Linked DNA regions of Drosophila melanogaster. Changing the gene in region 2 together with the main gene of any one other region gives a genetic interaction. Each region holds a gene or a part of one and is shown on either strand. Other genes may lie near its edges. The genes, in order: ey, Antp, Glut4EF and ph-d.

Region 1 (4,788 bases), on a different chromosome or scaffold from region 2:
TTATTAATATATGGGTGTCGAAACCCTCGGAGGCGGTCTGCATCTGAAGCAGACTAAGCCGAAACGGAACAACTTTTTGCTCCACGAGCATGTGCCGTGTCGTTGGCACGTGCCACGTGGCGATTGCTTGGGCTGCGTTCCATCCTCAGCACCAGTGCGAAGATAATATGATGATAGCAGGGCTGATTCAGCTTCCTGCGGGGGACATACTTTCATGTGCTACCATGTAGCCTAATAAAAACATTTGTTTCCTCCACCTTTAGGCGTTTTATGATGTAATCTGTGCATATTAAATCTTGAATATTATAAAGGGATATGGCAATCGGATCAAATGAAAATGATTCAGTCTTACCTGTAATAATAAAAATTACATGTGCGAAAGTAAGTTCAAACATTTTATAGTCAATGAAACGCCCAGTAAGTTAAGTATTTAGAACAGTTGCGCGCCTAACATTCTCACATATATTCAGATATCGATCGTGCGTGCATTTTATTCATAAAAATGTCAACGGGCTTGGTTAAATTGTTTAGTGATTGCTAATGTTTTTAAAATATGTCAAATATTTCAACCCCAATTCTTTCAGATTTGCTACAAATTTCGACAGAACAAAATTAAATATTATAAATACAATGTAGAACTATTGCAAGGGTACATTAAAAACATTCTGGAAGTGACTTAGAAGTAATATGCATTATTATTACATTTCACTTTTCAGAAGTCATAAGGACGTTATAAACCGTGTGAGAAGAACTCTTCGCATTGGAGAGCCCAATTGTATTGGAAACAGAAAAATTGGCCGGATATTGCTGTTGAATTTTGTGAATTGCACTTAAATCGACATTATCCCATACAGTCGTGTAGGTGCGCTATAGTTTTTTAATATTTCTCTAGAGGATTTTGAAACATGGCCTTTTAGCCATAACACTGGCCGTCCCTTTCAGGCTATTGGCAACTCGTTCTCTCGCTGTGCGGCGCAAAAGCAGGACAGGAACTTCCTCTTTGGGGCCCACCCAGCCTCCACATGTGACGACAGCTTATGGGATGGTGGCTGGTGGGTGTGACCGTGCTTAGGCTTGTCGACATTTTACTAAACAACCGTACGCCCACACCCAGCTCCCCTCGATATGGCTGTGTGTGTAGGCTCGCACTGCCGAAGCGGAAACGTGCGGGTAGTTAACGGAAATGTGAAGCGCTTATTGTATCGGAATGAAACAATTCCATTGGACGAGTGTGCTGCTGGCAACTTGTCTGGCCAGCTTGAATTCAAATGGAATGCAACATGTGTGTAATTGCTGGGGGGGGGGGGGGTGTGGCACTGGGCGACTTCTCGAAAGGCGGTGAAAGCGGCAGGCGCTGCACCGTTTACACACAGTTTCTTGCTGGAAGGAACAACATCCAGTTCCAGACCAGCACTTTCATGTCTGTTCAGGACCAAACCATTCCATTATGTGCTGCTGGTCCGTCTAGAGTTGGTTCTTCCTTTATTTTCAGATTCCGTTGCCACGATATGCTTAACGACACAACGCAGCTGCAGAACTGCACCGTGCCGAATCGCTTTCATCTTCCGCCAACTAACCTTACACGGGTGCGAGAGGGACAACTGGTGTGCTTCAACAACCAATCATGGGGCTAGCCTATAGCAAATGGTGGTGAGTGGACCAGCCATGCTGGTCTTTGCCAATCGCACGCGGTTCCGTGGCAACAAACCCAGCCTTTTGCGCAGGGGGGTGCTGGCCAGCCGAGGGTCGGCCTAGTCTGTTTCTGAAACGGATCCGGGTAGGCAGGTCGTGACATTATTATTTCGTGTTGCGCTTCTAAGGTAAATACTGTTCCGCCGCCGTGTCGCGAAGTTTAAGAAAGGTTGTTCGATTCACCGTGCGTATTAATCTTTATATCAAATGAAATTACCGGCTAAGTTAGCAATCGGTAGACCCGGGAATAATACGTGTTACGTGCAGTACAAATATGATGCTAACATGAGTGCAATCAAAAGTGGCGTTCGAAAAATGAACAAGTGAACTAAAACAAAAGCGGCTGCTCAGTTATATTTGTGTTTCCGAATTCGTAACTCTTAGGTCCTCACGGCGCGATCAACAATAGGTTTTTTGATCACTGCAGGACGTCATTCTCACCATCTGCGCAAATTTACTCTTAACTCTTGCTTGACTCGCCCTGCAAGAGTTCGCACGGCGTGCGTTTGGCTGAACACAGCAGTCTCTTGGCTAAAGCTTTCATGAGCAGTGCATGTAATAAAAACTGAGATCCAACTATGTTTACATTGCAACCAACTCCAACTGCTATAGGCACCGTGGTTCCCCCATGGTCAGCGGGAACATTGATAGAGCGCCTGCCGTCTTTAGAAGACATGGCTCACAAGGGTAAGTGAATTTTTTAAATTTCTTGATTGGCATCATCGTCTTTATCCGACCCTCTTATAAATATATATGAGTCTTAGCCAACACATATGTTAATGCTGCCCATGGGCAGTTGATCCGGTCCTACTAGGCGAGTGCAGTTTCGTTCGGCTGTTGGTCTCTTTTGGCGCAGTTTACCAATAGATAAAAAGCTTCTGAACTGAATCGTTTGCGAACTCTTCTCTCAAACTCAAACTCCCGAGAGTAAGACGGCTTTATACTCCGTATAAATTGTCCAAATCAAAGATATTCAAATCTTCGCCGTGACTCTTATAATTCGAAAAACCTATATTTGTATTATACCCGTAGCTTGTTGCTAATTTGTATTTAAAGTAGTTAGTGGAAGGAAGAGTTCCCGGCTAGTCGATTTTCCGATGACCGTTGGCATGTCTGTCCGTCAGTATTGACGTCGAGACCTTTGGAAGCGAAATAAGTAGGAATTATGCAAATTCCAGTAATGCATACGCAGCTTAATTTTATATTAAACCATTGTCACTCACTCACATTGTAAATTACAACGCAAAGGCGTTTAATGATCAATGGCGTTCCTACGGGCGTATCTCATGCTATCCCGCGCGTATATGATTATTGAGTACTTCATACTAGCTGACTCTTTCGTTTTATACAAATTTGTATACTCGTTACTCATAGATTAAAGGGTTATTAGATTTTTTAAATTTAAAGTATATATATTCTTGATCATGGTCAATCGGTCAATCTAGCCATGTCCGTCTAGCCATGTCCGTCTGCATGGACGTCGAGTTCTTAGGAACTATAAGAGCCAAAAGATTGCAATTTCTCGTTCACACATGCAGCCCAATTACGGGTATTTGATAGTCAATAAACCGGACTATAGCTCTCTTTCTCCTGTTTTAGCTCATAACGCTAACTGAAAAAGATTAAGCGCCTCCTTCTAAAAGCCCCATAAACGGCCCAAGTAGTCTATGGTATATATTCGTTCATACTGGGAACTTTTTAAACTAGTTCTTTTAAGTAATAGCTTAGGTCAAAAGTGATATTCTAGTTGAATTCTTTAACCATTTGGTTGTATACCTAGCTATGATTTATCCGTTTGTATTCTTCACGACTACCTTCTGCACGCAAGTTGCGAAGTCTTTTCCTGCAAGGTTTAAAACTATGCGGCTTACTGCTGAAATCGAAATTAGTTTGATTACTTTTAATACATTTTTTTGCACTTTTATCTCGCAATAAAATGATAACCCAAATACATAGCTTATGTTTTTGGGTTTCAGTTTAATTAAAACAATTAGGTAATCCTGATTTTTCAATTCGTTGCAGGTATAATATATTACAAAAAATAATTCGAATCGAACTATGACCTGAAATTTTATATTGCCAAAAAAAGTAGAGTATACCGAATTTAATTAATACATATAACTGATATATGTAAGAAAATATGTAACTAACAATGTAATGAAATAATTCTAATTCCTATGCAATCTGGCTCAACTTCTTAACTGAAATAAGAGAAAATGTTATAGTAGAGTTTCTCGATCAAACACAGGTCTAATTTAAAATTTGCAGTATTTTAGTTCCCGAATTCAGAGTGTTTAATAATGCATGTTCTTTAGAGACTAGGACAAAAAATCTGCAGAGTGTTCGGCAACTTTTGCAGTAGATTTCAGATTATAGATAGATTACAAAGAGAATAAATAAAACAAAAGAGAATGCTTTAGTCGAGTTCCGACTATCAGATACCCTTCACTTCGCTAGTGGGAATGCAAACGGAATGCAAATATATATGCGGGAATAAAATGAGAAAATATTTAAAAATGGTTTGAAAGTGTGGGTGTGGCAGTTTAGGGCGGTTTTAGTGCGTTTGAGTGGGTATTCTGTATTCTGTATGCCTCTGTATGAGATCTGGACGTTCATACGGACGGACATGGCCAGAATGACTTAGCTTTGATCCTGATCAAAAATATATATACTTTATGTGGTCGAAACGCTTCCTTCTACCTGTTACACACTTTTGAACGAATCTAGTATACCCTTTTACTCTACAAGTACTAGTACTTAAAATATGTTACATTTTTATAAACACTTAAGCAAGTTCAAAGTTGGTTCAAATTTAAAGATCTATTCCACTATTATTATAAATGAATTCCAAGTACAAACTGACTTCTTGATACGAATTTTACTCCTTTGATTTTCTTTTTTATAGACAATGTGATTGCAATGAGAAATTTACCCTGTTTGGGTACCGCTGGTGGTAGCGGACTAGGCGGTATTGCTGGGAAACCTTCCCCTACTATGGAAGCCGTGGAAGCCAGCACAGCGTCACATCCCCATTCGACATCTTCATACTTCGCCACAACTTACTACCATTTAACCGATGATGAATGTACGTTTTAA
Region 2 (4,925 bases):
AATTAACCGACTCATGTCGCCATCTATCAATGGGGGCTTAAATATAATTTTAATTTCAAAGGCAAGTCAAACAAGTTTTCTTTGTGGTGGTCGGCTGTTTTCGTTGAAGCTTTTTGTTGGATTCGTTTTATTAACAACAATTTCGTTTACTTTTGTTGCTAAGTTTTGGGCTTTCGGCCGAATCTCAGAGGTCGTGATTAATGTTTTTACAAAAGAGTTGTCGCCATTGGTGTGCTGATGTATAAATCTTTTTGCTGCTTTGCCATGAGTGTGAACTTGATTAAGAATCCGTTTAAAAGGAAGTGGTTGCTCATGTATAAGGGTCTAAATATGTTAGTAAAGAATTGTAGGACTTAAACAAAAATAGTCTAGGGAAATGTGCGTTTTCATACAAATTTTGAATATTTTCCCCCCATTTCTCCCAATTGCATCGGTGTTTTTTCTGTCTGTCACTCGGCCATAAATCATAAAAGTTTTTGCCGGGCAAACAGAACGGAGTTTATGATTTTGTCAGCTGTGTAACATTTCCAGCTGATAAAATCAATAAATTATGAGAAAATAATTTCATTTGATGCCATCTATTTGATTTTGCAAAAATCGAAGCTGGCAAAAATGCAAATGGAAATGTGTTAACGATAAGCAGGCTGAAAGTAAAAGCCAGGATAAGTTCATTAAAGCCCTTTTGGACAGATCGCTAGAGATACTTTCCAAATTATGGAACAGATTTTTAAATGTTTATTAAATTACGAATAAATTCCGCACCTCTGTGGGGCGCAAGTGCAATGAGAGAGCGGGAATGGAGAAAGAGAGAAAGGTAAAAGGTAGCGAGCGACAGACAGAGAGGACGACAAATATGCAAAGGCCAGACAACTAGGACAACAACAAAATCAGCAACAACAAGGACAATGCACTGCAACAATGGCCGCATAAATTTTCTATGCGGAGAACCCGAGAGTGTCCTGTTCGTCCAACTATGTGCGTGTGTGTGTGTGTGTGTATGAATGTGTTTGCGTGTGTGTCTGAGAGAGAAATGGCTGCCCTTTCCCACCATTCGGAAGTGAAACTATGTTGCCCAGGATATGCGCAATAATTCAAAAACGAATTCCAAGTTCAAAGAGCCCATTACTCGTGGCCAGTTAAGTTCGGAGCTCCGTTTTCAGTTTTCCAGCTTCAACTCCCGGGATTCCTGAAAGCATCCCACCACCCCTCCTCCCACTTTGCAAATTTATGCAAATGGCTAATAAGCCTGTCAACAGTTTGCAGTTTGCAGGCCAAATGAGTGATGACCTGGCTGTAGCTTCCGAAAAACGCCCTTTGAGTTATGAAGTGTTGAATCTGAGTTCGGGCAAAAAACTTATACCTTGCCCACTGCACATCGAGAAACAGATGCGCTATTCTTTGTACAGAGTCATTAATGTCAAAACTTCCACATATTTAGACAAGTATTTGGAAATGTATAAAGTTTCCGTCGGCATATACATAGACTGATATTCTAATCCATGTAAGCTTCATTGAAATGATTGATTTTATTCAAACATTTAATGGACAGCTAATAGTAACATAATATACTTATGTCAACCATTTTTTCAAAAATAATGTTAAGAGAACCTCACAATCATTTTTGTTTAAAAATTATATATAATTTTTAGTGACAATCGAATAATTCTTTGACGGTATGCATAGATGACATTACATTACATGTACAATTACCTTTGCAATTATTTAACAATATTGATTTTTTACTACAATTTAAAGTTAAGATTTTTTCTTCACTTTCAGTTACGATTATTATTAAATTGAATATTTGAAATAGTTTGGATAGGCAGAAATAACATAAAATTTGTAGTAAAATATAATTATAATCAATTTAAGCATTGTTTTCAAAACGCATTAACCATTTTTGTGAATAAAGACATTTTAATCCCAATTGGCCAATAAAAGAAACATATAACCATTTTGATTTCAGTGAAGAAGGTGAGGAAATTGAAAAGTCGAGCCCTGGCACTTACCTCTTAAATCCAATAACGTGCGCTTATCCTTCAATCCTGCTGGCTTTTGGAATTCTCAGCTAACGGTAGCTTGCACGTGCGCCAAAATAAAAAGTTTGCCCGCAGTGGAATCGAAACTTTTTCCGCTCCTTATTCTTTTCCGTTTTATGTATTTTGTTTTTTATTATTTATTTTTTTTTTGTGTTATTTTGGCTGTCTACGTTTTATTTCTGTTGAATTTGTTGTGGTTTGAGTTGAAAGCTTCAGCTTTTGTTTGTTGCTAGTGTGTAGATATTGCTCGATTTACGGGGGACTAGAAAACGTTGTTGTACAGATTCGAGTTTTCGGTGCACGATGCGTTTTTAAGAATAGATAAACACTTAGGTAGTAGGATTTGGCTTGATAAATTTGAACTCTAGCTCATTTGCAGCACAGTCAGCCCAGATCCATTAGTAGTATTGCACAATATGTGGATGAATTTTAATTTGAATCCAGACACCTGCCAGACACTCGAACATCATAAAAAGAAACGCGCGCGAAGTTCAATTCCAATTTCTCTGACGGTGTTTTTGTTTGCTGTTTATGCGATGGCGCCTGCGATTACAATTACGATTACGGTTACGATTACGGTTATTATTATAATAATGGGTTTATGACGATCTGCGCCATGCGATGGACAGTGTGCGACTGATTGCGGTTCTAATTTTTTACGATTATTGTTATGATTATTTTTACGGCCTTTATGATCTTAGCGGGCTGACAATTGGGATAAGAGAGCGGTCGCGACGACGGAGAGCGAGCGAATACGAATGCGAATAGTTCAGTTCAGTTTAGTTCAGTTCAGTTCAGCTCCGAGAGCCCAGCCCCAAGATATTGGCCGCTATAGCGACTACGGAATACGGGGCACCGAATACCGTTATGCTGCTGGGATCCCTCTCGCACACACACACATACAGTCGCACGTGGGCTAAGTCAACGGAACACGGACGGGTCCTCGAGTGCTTTGTTGTGTGATGTTGATTTCTTTACGACTCCTATCAAACTAAACCCATAAAGCATTCAATTCAAAGCATATACATGTGAAAATCCCAGCGAGAACTCCTTATTAATCCAGCGCAGTCGGCGGCGGCGGCGCGCAGTCAGCGGTGGCAGCGCAGTATATAAATAAAGTCTTATAAGAAACTCGTGAGCGAAAGAGAGCGTTTTATTTATGTGCGTCAGCGTCGGCCGCAACAGCGCCGTCAGCACTGGCAGCGACTGCGACCGCGACAGAGGTCCGATTCTGCTTCTGCTCCGGTCATAAAGTATTTTGCAAAAGAACCGTTCTGCTCTCGTTGCCATTTTGAGTGACTGAGAGAGCTGAGCGAGTGGGAGCAGCGAATTGGCGCCTGACTTGAGTTGACCGGCTTGAGTTGCCGGCCCGAGCTCGCTGAGCTGCAAACTGTAGTCAGTCTTCAAAAGAAGATCTTATGATGCACATCCAGTTATTTTCGATTATTCAGTTCCCAGATTTATTTTGGTTGGTATATTTGATTTCACTTTTTTATTAGGTTTTTAAGAAATTTGTTTCATTCATTTTGGTTTATTAAATACAATTTTTTGCAAGGTTCAATTTTAAGTTTCTTTCTCTTAAGTGCTCTTTTCAGTTTCTCTAAAATCGAAACTATTTAAAATTCGATTGTCTGGGCATTATCGAGTAGTTTCTACTTTTATTTCGAAGAGCGATTACTATATCTTTATAACTTAATATCTTTATACCTTTTTAACCATTCTTCTGGACTATATGGTCAATCAATTCATTTGCTTTTAATTTCTTAAAATAGCGTAACGATGTGAAAGATGTGTACATCTTCAGTTTACTTGTTTTTAAATTTTTGCGGTCAAATCTACCATTTTGTGGGAGACCACCTTCTATAAAATCAATTAAAATAATTGTACAATTTACAAATACGGTTCTCTAAAGGCCTTGTGTTGACTTTTTAGTTTTTAAAGTATCAATCCGTCGATTACTTCAGACTGAATCATTAATTTACAAACTCATTTATTTATTTATTTTACCAGTGAAAATAATCTAAAATAGGGTTTTGCAATGGAAAGGTCGAAAGTTTCTGTTTGCCTATTATGTAAAATAATTGTAAATTGTTATGCTGCTTAAGTACTTATAAGAGTAAAAAACGTTTTTGATTTCGATTGTCTCGATTTTTTATCTTTTTTAGATGTTCTTAATTAACGCTTATAGATATGGTATATAAACGTATAAACGTATCTTTTAATAATTATTTTTGTAAATATACCACAACCATACATAATTAACAGTTTTGTATAGCAAATGTGATTTGCCCGATGAAGTCATATCTAGACGTTTTGATATCTCATTATCGGCTAACATTCGATAATCGGGAGAATGATGGCCGCCGTGAATTATGGAACCCGGAATACGGTACTTGGAACCGGGGAGTATGGCATCCAAACATCCACTTGCCGACGGCAAAACCATCATGGCCGAGTTTATATCGAAGCGCGCCAACAACAAATCACATGCACGCACACATGCAGGCCATCACTCACACGCACACAATCACAATTCAGCATCGCTCTCACTCTCTCTCTTTCTCCTACGCTCTCGCTCTCCCACAGCTGTTGTGGAGCGGAAAAAGAACAACAACACAAGTTGGCCGAATTTTTGCAGCCGCTGCTTCTGCTTGCGGCGCTGCCAGCGTCGTAAACAGGGAGGAGTCCGCCACAGACGCACACTCATAAAGCATTCTCAGAGACCGCACACACACAAGCGCGGCACACAAACGCACAAGATGGATGGCGGCGCAGGCAGAGAGCGAGAGTGCGAGCGAGAGGGGCAGACGCGGGTGCGAGCGAGACGGCCAGATGCGGCCGCGTTAAGTGTGACGAATGTGCCATTATTTTGCTTTATGTGTGTCG
Region 3 (5,013 bases), 2.9 Mb from region 2:
CAATTCGAAAAGTTCATCTGATCTTTTTGCGCTCTGTCTCCCTCGTTCTGGGTACCTCTATCCGTTTCCATCAGCCGGTTGATGTTGTTGTTGCTAAGGCGCGGCCGCAGTCCGTAGAATTAATCTACAATATATAATTAGCTGTAAAGCGTAGAAACATCAAGCCATGTATCTCTATTTAGCCCTGAATTTGTAGCGCATTTATTGCAATTGTTTCCCCCATTTTACATTAGTCTTTTTCATTTTTTTTTGTTGTTTTTATTGTGGGTGTTTGTTGCTAACTTGAAATTCTTTCACGAAACCGAATTCTAAACAAATTTTCATTACGACACGATCTCATCATCATCGTCTTATCCGCAGAACAGAATCGTCGTCATTGAGATTGTTTTTTGGGTTTGCGCGTTCGGATTCGGGGCGATTCTATAAATGCCGCAACCGATGATGTTTCACTCTTGAATTATTTTTCGCTGCTTTTATTTATTAACTTTTTTTTGTGTTTGCTTAGCAGTTGAGCAGTTCAACGATTCGAGTGACGTAATGGCAAAGGGGCTGTGACTGGAGGATTAGCTAGATCATGTGTGTGGGATCGAATTGGGGGAATAAACTCACGACTGAGCGATATAGGATGTGTAGTAAGAGCTAAGCAATAAAATTTATAAACGATTGCATTTCTGGAGAGATATATGGAATACGGAATTTCGTATTCTATTTTAGCATGGGATCAAAAAAGGCTCGTTGGGAATCAGATGCAACATAAAAGTGCCACACATTTCCCGCTTTCGCTGTGCATCGAAGATACGTAATTAAATCTGAAGTCGCTTTAGCTTCTGGTCAATCTAATCTCGGGGGCTCGAACTGGCCCTCAAGCGAGAGGGGTTCTCTATATCGAAACGCACGAGCAAGAAGGCCAACCCAGAGCGTAACCCAATTACGTGCCAAAAAGCGGAATGCGACCCTCGACAAGTATTTTTTGTGCTTTTCTCTTTTTTTATTCGTTGCATAGTTGCACAGTTGTATATCGTACAGTACTGTACACTGGGGTGCAAGTAAATATATGCTCTGAATAACCCATTACATAGGCGCATAGATACATATGTATGTATGTACATCTGTCTATGTGCATGTGTATGCTGCTGCCGCCCCCAAAAAAGGGGAGGGGCATGCTGTGGTGCGGCCAAGCCAACCTTGACACACTTTTCGCCGCCCCACAAAGCTGATGATGCTCATCATGATGTGGATGGTGATGGTGATGATGATGATGCTGGCGATGATGAAGACGTCGACAGCACAGCCAGCAGCCTTTCTCAGCTGCAGTGGTCAACCCCCCAAAATGAAAAAGTATCTAAAGGATGCAGAAACTCCCGCTTGGATTTGCTATATCCTCCGCCTTCATTCAAGAAGAGTTTCTCGAAGGTTGAAAATACCCATACCCAATTTTCTAGATAATATACATTCGTAAAGGATGTGCCCACTCACCTCATTTCCAACTGTTGTGATCTTGACAATCACCTCATCCTTGGTAGCGTCGTGTTTGACGACATCGCCGCTCTGCTCGCGTCCATTGTAGGTGAAGTAGACCCGCTGGCCAGGCTGCAGTTCGGTGTCCATGATGGACCGGAATCCGGGTCCAATAAGATCCGACTCGCGGAACTCCTTGATCATGGCGCTGCGACGCAGTGCCTGAGCGGGACTGATGTGTACGTTGGCAGCGCGACGCGTTTCCACGATGACCGACGGATCTGTGGAGGATGTGGACGAGGTCGAGGCCGCGGACGACGTGGTAGCGGTTGGGGACTCGACGGCGGTCTTGAAATCGAAACGGACCAGGTAGCGCGTATCGGCATTAATCGGTGCCTCGCCGGGCACCACAAAAGTGGGCGGCGGCGGCGGCGAGAGCGGTCCGCTGTACGAGGGCGGCGTTTTCACGTCGGATATGGTGCCGGAGTACCAGAGGCCATCCGGACCCTTGGCGCACACCTTGGTGCCGATGATGGAGCGCTTGGCCAAACGGCGGCCGGTGGACATTTTTGTACGTTCGGTTATACTACTTTCAGGGGGGGTTATTTTAGTTTCCAGCGCTTTAAAACACGCTAGATTTTCTAGTCTTTTTTTACGTCTGTTTATTTGAACTTAGAACTTGATCTTGGCCTTAATGGTTGGCCACATTTTCTTTTCGCACTTTAATCACTTTTACTTTTTTTATTGCACTTGAGTATTTGATTTTGTGGATATTTGTTGCACACTTCTTCCCAATCAGTTACACTTTTTTTGTAATGGTTATTAAACGCACTTTGTCTTTTTTGTGGAGTTTATTGCGGACTATATGGGGATATTTGTTATGGGTATTACTTAAGTCTGGCAGACGTTCTTGGTCAGCCGGTAAACGTGAAATTGGCCAAGACTGGGCAGTTTCTTGATGATATTCTTGTGATACAGCTCCAAAGAGAAGGTGACGCGGTGCAGGAGCCACTGGGGCGGATGAAAATGCGGCTTTAACTTCACATGCTCGGCGTCGCTGGGCGTCTGAATGGCGTGGCAGTTGCGTTTGTGCCTAAGCATAATCCAATTTTGACCGCTTGTAACGTCAGCTTGCAGTTCGAGTTTCCTGCGGGGAAAGTTTTTTTTGTTTTTCGTTTTTCGCGCTTTTGCCGGTCGTTACTTTTCACTTTTCTCTCAGTTTTCTTACCAGCACTCACACACACACGCACACTTATACACACAACACACTGACACAACACAGAGAGCAATATGCGATGCAATTGGCGGCTGCTGCACTGATTTGTTTTGACTTTTAGGTTTTTTGCGTTTCGCTTTGTGAATGCGGCTATTTTGCTTCAAAATTGCCCAAAAAAACTAAACGGAACACCAGAAGAGGGCCCGTTTGTCTTGGGTTTTTGGCTACAACTTAGTTTGCTTGGCTTTTCACTTGGCTGTTGGGTATTTTTCAGTTGTTTTGGTTTGGCGGAATTGCCCGAAAAGCGCTTATCGGTCTGCTTCCGAGAGTTGGCTATCAGAGACTGAGCGCACGAAAAACGAAACGAAAAGCAAACGGCCAGTTACAGTTACCCACACACACACACACACACACCGACGCGCTCTCCCTCTCCGACTCTCTCTCTCTTGTTTTTGTGTATGTATATATGCATGTAAGGCATCTACCTGCGTTTGGAAAAGCCAAATAAGACACATGTGTGTTTGTGTGCGAGTGTGAGGCCTTCCCGCAGCATAAAAATGTTAGAGGGAAACTGCAATTTCCACGACTAACAGAACACCCAAAGAAGTGGAAAATCATATATTTATGCTATCTAAGTGCGCAGTAGCTAATCAACAATATAACTATGACGCCATCACTGGATGGATAGAGCATAAAACACGGGGGCAGCATTGAAAAAAAGAGCAGCATAAAATACTACGCAGTTAAAAAAACAAAACCAAATCTACAGAGCACTTGTCACGCATACGCGCATCATAAATGTGCGTGTGTGAGTGCGACTCGCTCTGGTTTATCAACAACAACAGAGCGATAACAGCTGTTGGAGGCGACGCAGCAACAATGTTGCGAAAACAGCTGTTGAACAGCGAACATCAGTCTCAAAACAAACGAGAGAGAAAGAGCGGAAACGAAGTTGGCCAACGCTTTTTTTGGATCCTCTTCAAATCTGAATGGATCCCTGCTGAAGAATTTCATACTTCAAGGATCCGCTCGATCACCAAACAGCCTATTGCCTACCCTAAGGCGATGGCCTCAAAACGTGTTCCTTTTAAAAGCCCTCTTCAATATTGCTGAAAATAAAATTCATAAAATTGCTTAAACACACAAACAGAATTTTTCTTTATTTCGACAGAAGTATTGTGTTGTGACTACCTGTAAATAAAGTCGCAAGTGCTCTGTAAAGAGCACCATAATGCCGGCCGGTTCGCAGCAATAACGTCACAGAATTTAACAGTTAAAGAGAGCGCTGTTTTGCCTGTGCGCGTCTGTGTGCGTGACTGTTTCCCAACTGTGTGTGAGCGCGGGGGAGAGCGACTCACAGCTGTTATGTGCTTTCAAATCCATTCGATTTTGTTTACATCAATTCCATGCTGGCGCTGTAGATGTGAATATGTTGCTGTTGCTGCCGATGGATGTGGATATATGTGTTTCGAGGTTTTCTGGTATTTTTGGGCTCTCTGCGGGGCGAGCATTGTTGTTGCCTTTGGAATGACCTCTGTAGGCATTCTCCGGCAACGTCAGCAAGTGTCGAAGGGCGGTGGATGGAGTCAGAAAGGGGGCGGGGTTCGTTTATTGCGGGGATGGGCGTCTCAATCTTCAACTCCAATAACCAACACATCCATGAAAGATTCAGAACGCCACGGGGCCTAGATTTGCGTAGTTATTGTTCTGGAGTTTCTACGTTCCTGCGTTTTCCGCTTCGCATTCTCGGGGTGGATTTTCTGTGGATTTTCATGCCGCCAGCATTATTGAAGACGTCATTTGCGAACGGAGTGGGGGAAATCGAGAAAAATGCACTGCGTATTTCCCACTCCATTTAACCAAAATCCGAAATAAAAGTCAAAAAATGGAGGACGGACAGACTGACGGACGGAAGACCTTGCGAGATAGTGCGGAAATATTGCTTGCCGCCCTTATCTAGTCGAAAATTCTACTGATTACAGCCGAAGGGAAAACTTATGTAGGTCTTATCTACATTGAAATACACAGAACATAAAGCTCCATCACCTTTAAATACATAATTATGCGCAGGGTGCCAATATAAACGGTAGTTGATAAAACGTAAGATGGATTTTACTGGTATGCTATTGGAAAATTTCAATCCTATGTGGTTTTAGCTACAAAAGTTCAAATGGCACTTTGATATTTGATATGGGTAAGCGATGATTGCTGATTTCTTCCCCATTTCGGACGGAATTGAAGAAAAAGAAGCAGCAGATGAAGAGGAGTGGCGGCCAAGTGCAAAGATTAACTATCTGGTAAATTCAATTAATCATTTCTCCAGTGGAAATTCCGCAGCA
Region 4 (7,609 bases), on a different chromosome or scaffold from region 2:
TTCGTAAAACTAAAAAAAAAATTAAACTCCGACCACTGATTTGATCTATAAAAGTTGGACAGCGTTTTCGGAACCTTGCAATAAAGGCAAAAATTCTTCAGACGTTACTCATTACGACCTAAGTTTATCAATAAATTAAAGGTTTAGTTGGATTCAATTCAGTTTCACTTAGGAATTACTTCAGGCTTAAGTTTTAATTCTAACTACGTAAATATAATCCCAGATTACCTCTAGTTCAAATGATTTTTTCATGTTCTTTGCATAGGGTGTTGTGAAATGATTAACAACGTTCAAATAAATACGTTAGTGATTATGAGTAATTGTGAACTTCTATACAAAGTGATGAATTGATGACTGGGATGGCAGTCTATGCTCTATCATACATGTGGCGTCCTGTCATTTGAGCTACGATATTACCCCTCTTGCTATGTTTAGATTACGTACAAAAGGATTGAAAGTCCGCTTCAAGTGAATCAAATTCAGCTTGGGTGGCAGACCCGGTTGGACCCGGTCCACAGGTAGGCAAAGGTCCATGCAAAGGTCGTGGGAGATCAGCATGGTCAAATAGAAGCTCAGGATACTGCCCGCTCCTATCCTCAGACTCTGGTAGACTGCTGAAGACTGTTGATCCAACGGCGGTGGCGCCAGCGGTCCTATAACCTCCCCGTCCTTTTCGTCGCACAGAGTCATGGACTCTACTATTGCCACAATCTTGGGGTCTGATCGGGGTGCTTAAACTAGCTGCAGCTTCGGCGCCGAAGGAGGGTCATATTCCTTGCTTTCGTCATGTGCGGGAAAAACAACTACATCACCTAATTATGGATTTCTCGCATAGATTCTGGATGGGATGGGCCTCGCAACAGAGTCAGTGATTCCAGGCACCGGTTGCTCTCTGGGGAGTTCCCTTTGTAGATTAGGTGCATGTAGCTGATGATTAGGGTGTACGTGCTGTGAGAAGTGGTGAGTCGGAACGTGATTCACTTTGTTCTGTCTGATCACATTCGCTCACGAAGTAAATGTCGTTACATTTAGGTGAAACGCGGGAAACTAAAGAAAGCGGTCTTTTGAAACCTTGACTTTGTTGCGTGTTTTTAATCCTTTACATCGCCTGGCGGGACCTCCTTAATGGACTCCACCTTGGCCACAATTTTGAGAGCTGGACCCAGCTTCATGCCCATGGCGTTAACCAAATGGTTTTCTTTGAGCAGCAGCAGCGCTTGGCCGTCGATCTCCTGCTGTATAAAGTCGTCCACGTAGTCCTGGCAACCAGGCAGTTCTCGGATGAAATTGCTAACTTCTTCCACACTCCAACTGCTGATGGGAGGGCGATCGGATCCATTTATATTCGAGGATGGTATTGCTAGGACCGGCGCAACCACTCCAGCTGAAACCACTGGCAGTGACACAGTGGGAGCTATTGCAATTGGCAAGGGCAATGTCAGGGGCAACGAAAGTGGTGAAGATGTCGACATAGCCGCCAGCACTGGCATCGAAATCGGTGGGACCTCCGGCGTAGCCGCTTGAATTGGCAAAGCGTCCGATACTGTCTGGTATGATTCTGTCTGCATCTTCTCCTCAGCCATGGCTTCATCCAGTCTGTCCACCAATGCCATTGCGTCCACCCCAACTATACCACCTGTCCCCAGGCCGTTCGTCTCTCCTGATCCAACTCCACCGATGCCGTTCTTTGCCTGCCTCGAGCATCCTGGCGAACAGTAGCGCTTCCGTTTCAGCTTTGCTTTGTGCTCCATCTTTCCACACTGCTCGCAAGCAACCATATCCGAGCCTGGAGCTGATGCTATTCCACTTAGCTTGATGTCCTCCTGCATGGTTGCCTTTTTCTCTGCGCGAAGGAATGACACGTTAAGATTGCGAAAAAGCATTGGTACCAGAAGTTTATACTCACTTGGCGGCTCATCGCTGACGTCTTTGTCTGCATATCGCTGTCTGGTGACGGGAAATGGCTCGTTGGCCTCCTGGATGATGAAGCCATCGATGACGTGAGTTAAGACGTTCGGCTTAATCATCGCCTTGGGGAGATCCTTCGATCCATTACTGATACTCGACGTGGTGGTTGTGGTTGTGCTGGTGCAACTTGTGGTAAAGGTGCCAGAACTGGTAGTGGTTGTGCTAGCGGTTGAGACAGCCGTGCTGGCTGTCGTTCTGGCTACTCCAATCCCATTGGTGATCGTTGTCGTGGTTGATGTTGATGTTGCGGACGTTAAACTGCCGCAGGTTGTCAGCTTCGGCTCTTCTTTCCCACTGACACTGTTGGGAATGGTGCTACTCGGTGGCTGCACTGCTGCATTGCTTTGCTTGCTGGTGGGAGTGGTAGCGCCCTTTGACGGCGTGGAAGACCTATCTGAGGCATCTCCATTGGACAGGGCTTCGCCTGTGGAACTACTGGCCTCTACGGATGCGCTAACAGTGGCAGGAGTAGATGATTTGGGGGTAGTGCAGGTGTCCTTTCCTGATACAGGAGTCTTGGGCGAATCAATGGGCACCAGGGTTGCGGTGGGCCCTTTTGAAGGTGTCTCTTTGGTGGGCGTGGCTGGAAAGCCTGCTCCTCCACCGCTACTAGCACTGCTTAGTGTGACCAGCTGTCCAGACGATGGAGTGACAGCGGTGCTAGAAACACTAACGGGTGGGGCAGTGGATAGGTGACCCACGGTGGCATTCATCATCGAGGTCATGGCCAGAATGGGATTTGTTGTAGGTGAGGGCGTGGTGGGTGTAAGTGAAGGTAGTCCCAGTTGCTGCTGCTGCTGCTGCTGTTGAGACCCTCCGGCAATAGTGGCGCTGATTAGCTGCTGATGTTGATGGATCTGAGTACCTTGCGTCTGAGCCTGCTGCATACTGGCCACCGTACTGCTGGTGACCAGAGGAGTGCTGCTCTGGCTGGTAATTGTGACCACACTGCTTGTGGGGAGCGTAGAGGAACTGCAAGTAATCGGTTTGGTTGTCTGAAAGATGGCGCCAGACACCGAGAGAGCTTCTTGTAGGGCACTGGATGTTATTCCGGCAATATCTTCCGCCGTCATCGATGGTGAAACCGAAAACGGCACGCTGCTAAGCTGCAACTGTCCAGACTGCTGTTGCGGTTGCTGCTGCTGCTGTTGAGAAGTCGCTCCAGTTGACTGTTGCACCACAATCTGCTGGATAATATTCTGCTGCTGCTCTCGCTGCTGTTGTTGCTGTTGCGCTTGAGCCTGCACTTGGGCTTGAACTTGTGCCTGCGCCTGTTGCTGTAGCTGCTGCTGTATCAGTTGGTTGTGAAGTTGCTGCTGCTGCTGTTGCTGGTGGGACGTGATGAATTGATTTGGCGCCACCTGAAGGATTTGCTGAGTGGCATTCGCGAGAGCCTGTTGATGCTGCGCCTGGGCTTGGGCAACTTGCTGCTGTTGCTCCCTCTGCTGTTGCTGAGCCTGCGCGACTGCCTGTTGTTGTTGCGCCACCGCTTGCTGTTGCTGGGCGTTAACCTGCTGCTGCTGAGAGACCTGTTGCTGCTGTTGTTGCTGGGCCTGAACAGCCGCTTGCTGCTGCTGCATTTGAATGGCAGCAATTTGCTGTTGCAACATTTGTTGTTGAAGGATGTGCTGTTTCTGAAACAGTTGTAGCTGCTGTTGCTGCTTGTCGACTCCTGCCGCAGTGGCTGCATGAAGGGTCTGTCCATTCTGCAGGGTGATCGGAGTGCCCGTTGTGCTCATCACAACCATTCTGGAAAGATGCAAAAATAAGTACTGTGACAAGGCAGATAATAAACAAACAATACTCACTTGTTGCCCGCCGCATTAACCACCTGCTGGAGATTCGTCGCCTGTTGCTGCTGCTGCACGGTGGTCAGGTGGCCTACTACCTTATTTTGTCCTGCGACTTGACCGATTTCGGTTTTCAATGTGGCTAAAGCGGGGCGCACCGGCTGCTGCTTGTTGCGCATTTTGGCCTTCAGCAGGCTCTGGTTCTGGGCAGTCTGTGTGGATACGGAACTGGCCGGACGCACTTGAGTTCCATTGTGGGGCATGACAGGGGCTCCTGGTCGCTGCAGAGCGGCTGCAGTGAGTTGCTGCTGCTGTTGCTGCAACTGGGCAGTAGCCACCGCTAGTTGCTGCTGCTGCGTCTGGTTGGTAGTGCCAACCTGCTGCTGCTGCTGTTGCTGCTTGGGAGCAAGTGCATCCAGTTGAGTGCGTGCCTTAGTGGGCGTCTGCGTCACGTTGCATTGAATAATCTCTGTAGGAAGATAGTTGACTTTAGTACCTATCCGATGCAATATACATGACAATATTCTTACGGTTTTGCTGGGTCTGCAAAGTCTGCGTCGCCGGTTGCTGTTGAATGAACATGCCTTGGGTTCCGTCTGGCTGGTTTCGCAGGATGATCTGATTGGAGCCGAAGGGTTGCAGGCCCGCCGCATTCTGCCAGAACCAAGGGATCTGCATTTGTTGCGCTTGGCCAGCGTTCAAAAGTTGGGCAGTCTGAACAGACTGTCCACCCACACCGACTGGCAAAGTCGACTGTGAAACCTGCACGCACTGCTGAGTGGTTTGGGTGGTCTGCTGCTGCTGTTGCTGAACCTGCTGCACCTGCTGGGTCTGTGTTGACCCAGTAGATCCAGGACCCGTCGCCGCCTGCACCGTGCTGCTGGTGGTGGTCACCTTCTGAACCACTTTCTGGGCCAGCTTGCCCTGCGCATCCACTCCCACCTTGGCCAGAGCGGCAGTCAGCTGTTGCTGTTGCTGCTGCTGGTTGAGCTGCTGTTGCTGCTGGTTAAGCTGTTGCTGCTGCTGTTGGGTAAGTTGCTGTTGTTGAGCTGCGGCGGCCATTGATTGCAGAAGGTTTTGCTGCTGCTGTGGCGAGTGGGAGATGACATTCACCGGCGAGATGAGCACCGTCTGAGGCGACTGATTGTGGTTCGAAGGAATGCAGGTCGCGTAATTTCCGCCAGCGAATCCCGCTTGGCCACCGATCATTTGCTTGGCGTTTTGAGTCGTGGTGGTAAGCATCTGGGGGCCGTTGCCTTGGAATGGCTTGCCGGCGGTGATCACCTGGATTGGCTGCTGACCGAGGCCTCCTGGATGCAACAGATTTCCCGACACAATCATTTGGGGATACAGGAAACTGGTGGAGGGTTGCATTAGCTGCACCGTCCTTCCCTGTGTCCAATCCCCGCCAACTCCTCCAGTGGCCGCTGCCAATTGCATCGGCGACATGGTGCTGATGGCTGTGGAGTGCTGCTGTTGCTGGCTTTGCTGCGAGTTGGCCGGACTAGCTGCTCCTCCGGCTCCGGCCGAGGCTGCTCCTCCACCGTTGGCTTCCGACAGCTGCTGCTGCAGCTGCAACTGCTGCTGAACTTCCATAATGTTGGTTGCATGCTTTAGTTCAGTTCCACTGCCACTGGTCGTGTGCGTGGGAAACTCTTGCTTCACCTGAATGGCGTAGGGATTGTTTGCATATAACTGCTGCAGCTGCTCGGGGGAGATCTGCAGCGGCACATTGGTGGCGGCCGCCACCTGTTGAGCTGGACTCTGTGACTTCTCCAGTTTGCGGCCGGTTGTCTTTGAGTCGGGTGCGCTTGGCGATCTGCTGCTGAGCGGTAGTAGTGGGTGGCGCCGTCTGATTGATGGCGTTCCGACTGACCCACGTGCTGCCTTAGAGCTGGGCGATTGGGATGGACTCTTGGCAAAGTCCTCGTCGAAGCTGATGCCTGCCTTCTGGGCGAGTGTTTCCAGGCACCTTAGTGGCCGCTGGGGGTCCACGCGAGTGGTGGAGTTGACCTTTACAGATGTGGTGGCTTCCGGGGAAGGTGGTGGTGTACGTATTGTTGTTGCTGATTCACTTTCGGTGTCCCCACTGCTGGAAAGAGAAAGAGGAAACGCACACAGACTATCAGTAAATTGCTTTAAACACAAACAAACACGGACACACTTGGCGCGGCTCCGAATCCGTGGGGCATGCTTCATATTCATGTTTAAATTTATATTTATATTCTTATTCATATTCTCTTAGCGCTTGACGAACAAACCGCACAACAACAAACTGCGACTGCATGTTACTCCCGCCAAAGACTCTCTCTCTTGCTCTCCAACGCGAAAAGGGGGACGAGGAACAGAAAAAGAAAGAAGGGGGTGCGACAGGGACGCACTACCATTGAGAAAGACAAAGACGGGATCGATCTGGGTCCAAAAACGCCAAAGAAAACGAAAACGAAAACAAAGTCGGGACGAAAATGTGAGAAGGGAACGAGAGATACACTTTGTTTTGGATGATCGTTCACTCACGAGGTAATTTACTTACAGTGGATACTGTTTAGGTGAGACGTGGTAAGCTTAAACACCAACATATTATATGGGAAATTACAAATGATTGCAGCTACAACTTTGTACAACACTAGCCCCACCGTGTATTCAGTACTTTTTACGGAACAGGTAAATAAATATTTTAATTTGTTCATGATTCGTGACCCACTAAAAGTGCACTGTTTTTCATATGTGCATGCACACCAACACCTAAAGCAGGTCACTTGTCAGCGTTGCCTGTGCCCGAAACATCTATTTATAGTAGGATTGCTCTCTGCTGCATATTCCCCTTCTCCATCACCTCCTCCCATCTACTACGCAGAGAGGAAGTTCGAGTGGGTGTAAGGGAGACCACTTTTATTTACGGATGGCCCTTGGGCGATGGTTATAAGCCATCATGGTGATATCCAAGGGGACAGGTTCAAAGACCTAAGCTGGGCGCTCAAAATGCTGTCGCCAGTTGTCCAGGAGTAAGAAATGGCCGCGGCTCAGAGGAGCGGAAGGAGCAACCGGCGCCACCAATAATAGTTAGGAGTTTCAGTTACATTTGGTGTGTATCGGGGGTGGATTTTGGCTTCCATTTCCATCGGCAGGCTAAGAGCGGAACGGATTTGGAAGGGGGGTAATAAACCTAGGCACAGCAGCATCTTCAACTTGCAACCGAAAGACTGGTTTCTTTCTACCGCGCCACGATATGTGCATGTGTGTGTGTGCATGTGCGTGTGGCGGCATACAATAATGCCATCATTATTTGATTTTTCCCTTAGCCAAAAATTGAGTTGCAAGAGGCAGAAACAGAGGAAGAGGAGAAGGAGAAAACGAAGAGGCAGGGAGCAATGACAACAATGCGGCGCAAACAACAGGCAAAGAGCATGCGCCGACGACAGCGTCTCATCAGAAAAAATATGTTTTACCGTTTTCATTTTTGCTTTCCTTGCTGTACTGTATTATTGTATATTTGGAGGCACCTGTACATGCCTAACATTCAAAACGACGCAACTTTAGACGCCGCACAGCATTAATTGTTTTCACTAATCACTTATAGTCAGCACCGATTTGCATTGATCGCCAAAAATAAATATATAAATAAATACTACGAAACGGTGGTAGGGTGTGTGTGCGTCGCGTCGGCGCTTTTTTTTTCCCCCGTTCAATACACATGCGGTATGCGACACATCGACACCACACCAACACGAACGCAAAGAGAGCAGAGCGCAAGAACCGCACGCCGCCAAGTTAAGTTTCAAACTGAACCGCGCGCTACAGCGACAACTCTACTTTTGCTCGGATCGGAAACAAAATGAGCGCATGTGTGC

What was found.
Region 1: of Antp (region 2) and ey, changing one suppresses a phenotype caused by changing the other (phenotypic suppression), as found in Drosophila melanogaster (2 studies listed by BioGRID).
Region 3: of Antp (region 2) and Glut4EF, changing one enhances a phenotype caused by changing the other (phenotypic enhancement), as found in Drosophila melanogaster (one study listed by BioGRID).
Region 4: of Antp (region 2) and ph-d, changing one enhances a phenotype caused by changing the other (phenotypic enhancement), as found in Drosophila melanogaster (one study listed by BioGRID).

Annotation. Positions count from the first base shown.
Region 1 is NC_004353.4:702,895-707,682, forward strand, and holds the start of ey (eyeless), read left to right. Parts: upstream 1-1,756; 5' UTR 1,757-2,270; coding exon 2,271-2,379; intron 2,380-4,534; exon of another isoform or gene 4,535-4,597; coding exon 4,598-4,777; intron 4,778-4,788. UniProt on the Drosophila melanogaster protein: Involved in eye morphogenesis.
Region 2 is NT_033777.3:6,996,197-7,001,121, forward strand, and holds the start of Antp (antennapedia), read right to left. Parts: upstream 3,033-4,925; 5' UTR 2,010-3,032; intron 1-2,009. UniProt on the Drosophila melanogaster protein: Sequence-specific transcription factor which is part of a developmental regulatory system that regulates segmental identity in the mesothorax. Provides cells with specific positional identities on the anterior-posterior axis.
Region 3 is NT_033777.3:9,872,687-9,877,699, reverse strand, and holds the start of Glut4EF (glucose transporter 4 enhancer factor), read right to left. Parts: upstream 3,020-5,013; 5' UTR 2,560-3,019; coding exon of another isoform or gene 2,350-2,559; 5' UTR 2,026-2,349; coding exon 1,477-2,025; intron 703-1,476; exon of another isoform or gene 509-702; intron 1-508. Other genes in the region: CG46467 (uncharacterized protein), read right to left, coding at 2,350-2,559.
Region 4 is NC_004354.4:2,115,775-2,123,383, forward strand, and holds the start of ph-d (polyhomeotic distal), read right to left. Parts: upstream 6,019-7,609; 5' UTR 5,951-6,018; coding exon 5,913-5,950; intron 5,851-5,912; coding exon 4,289-5,850; intron 4,228-4,288; coding exon 3,777-4,227; intron 3,718-3,776; coding exon 1,907-3,717; intron 1,844-1,906; coding exon 1,092-1,843; 3' UTR 1-1,091.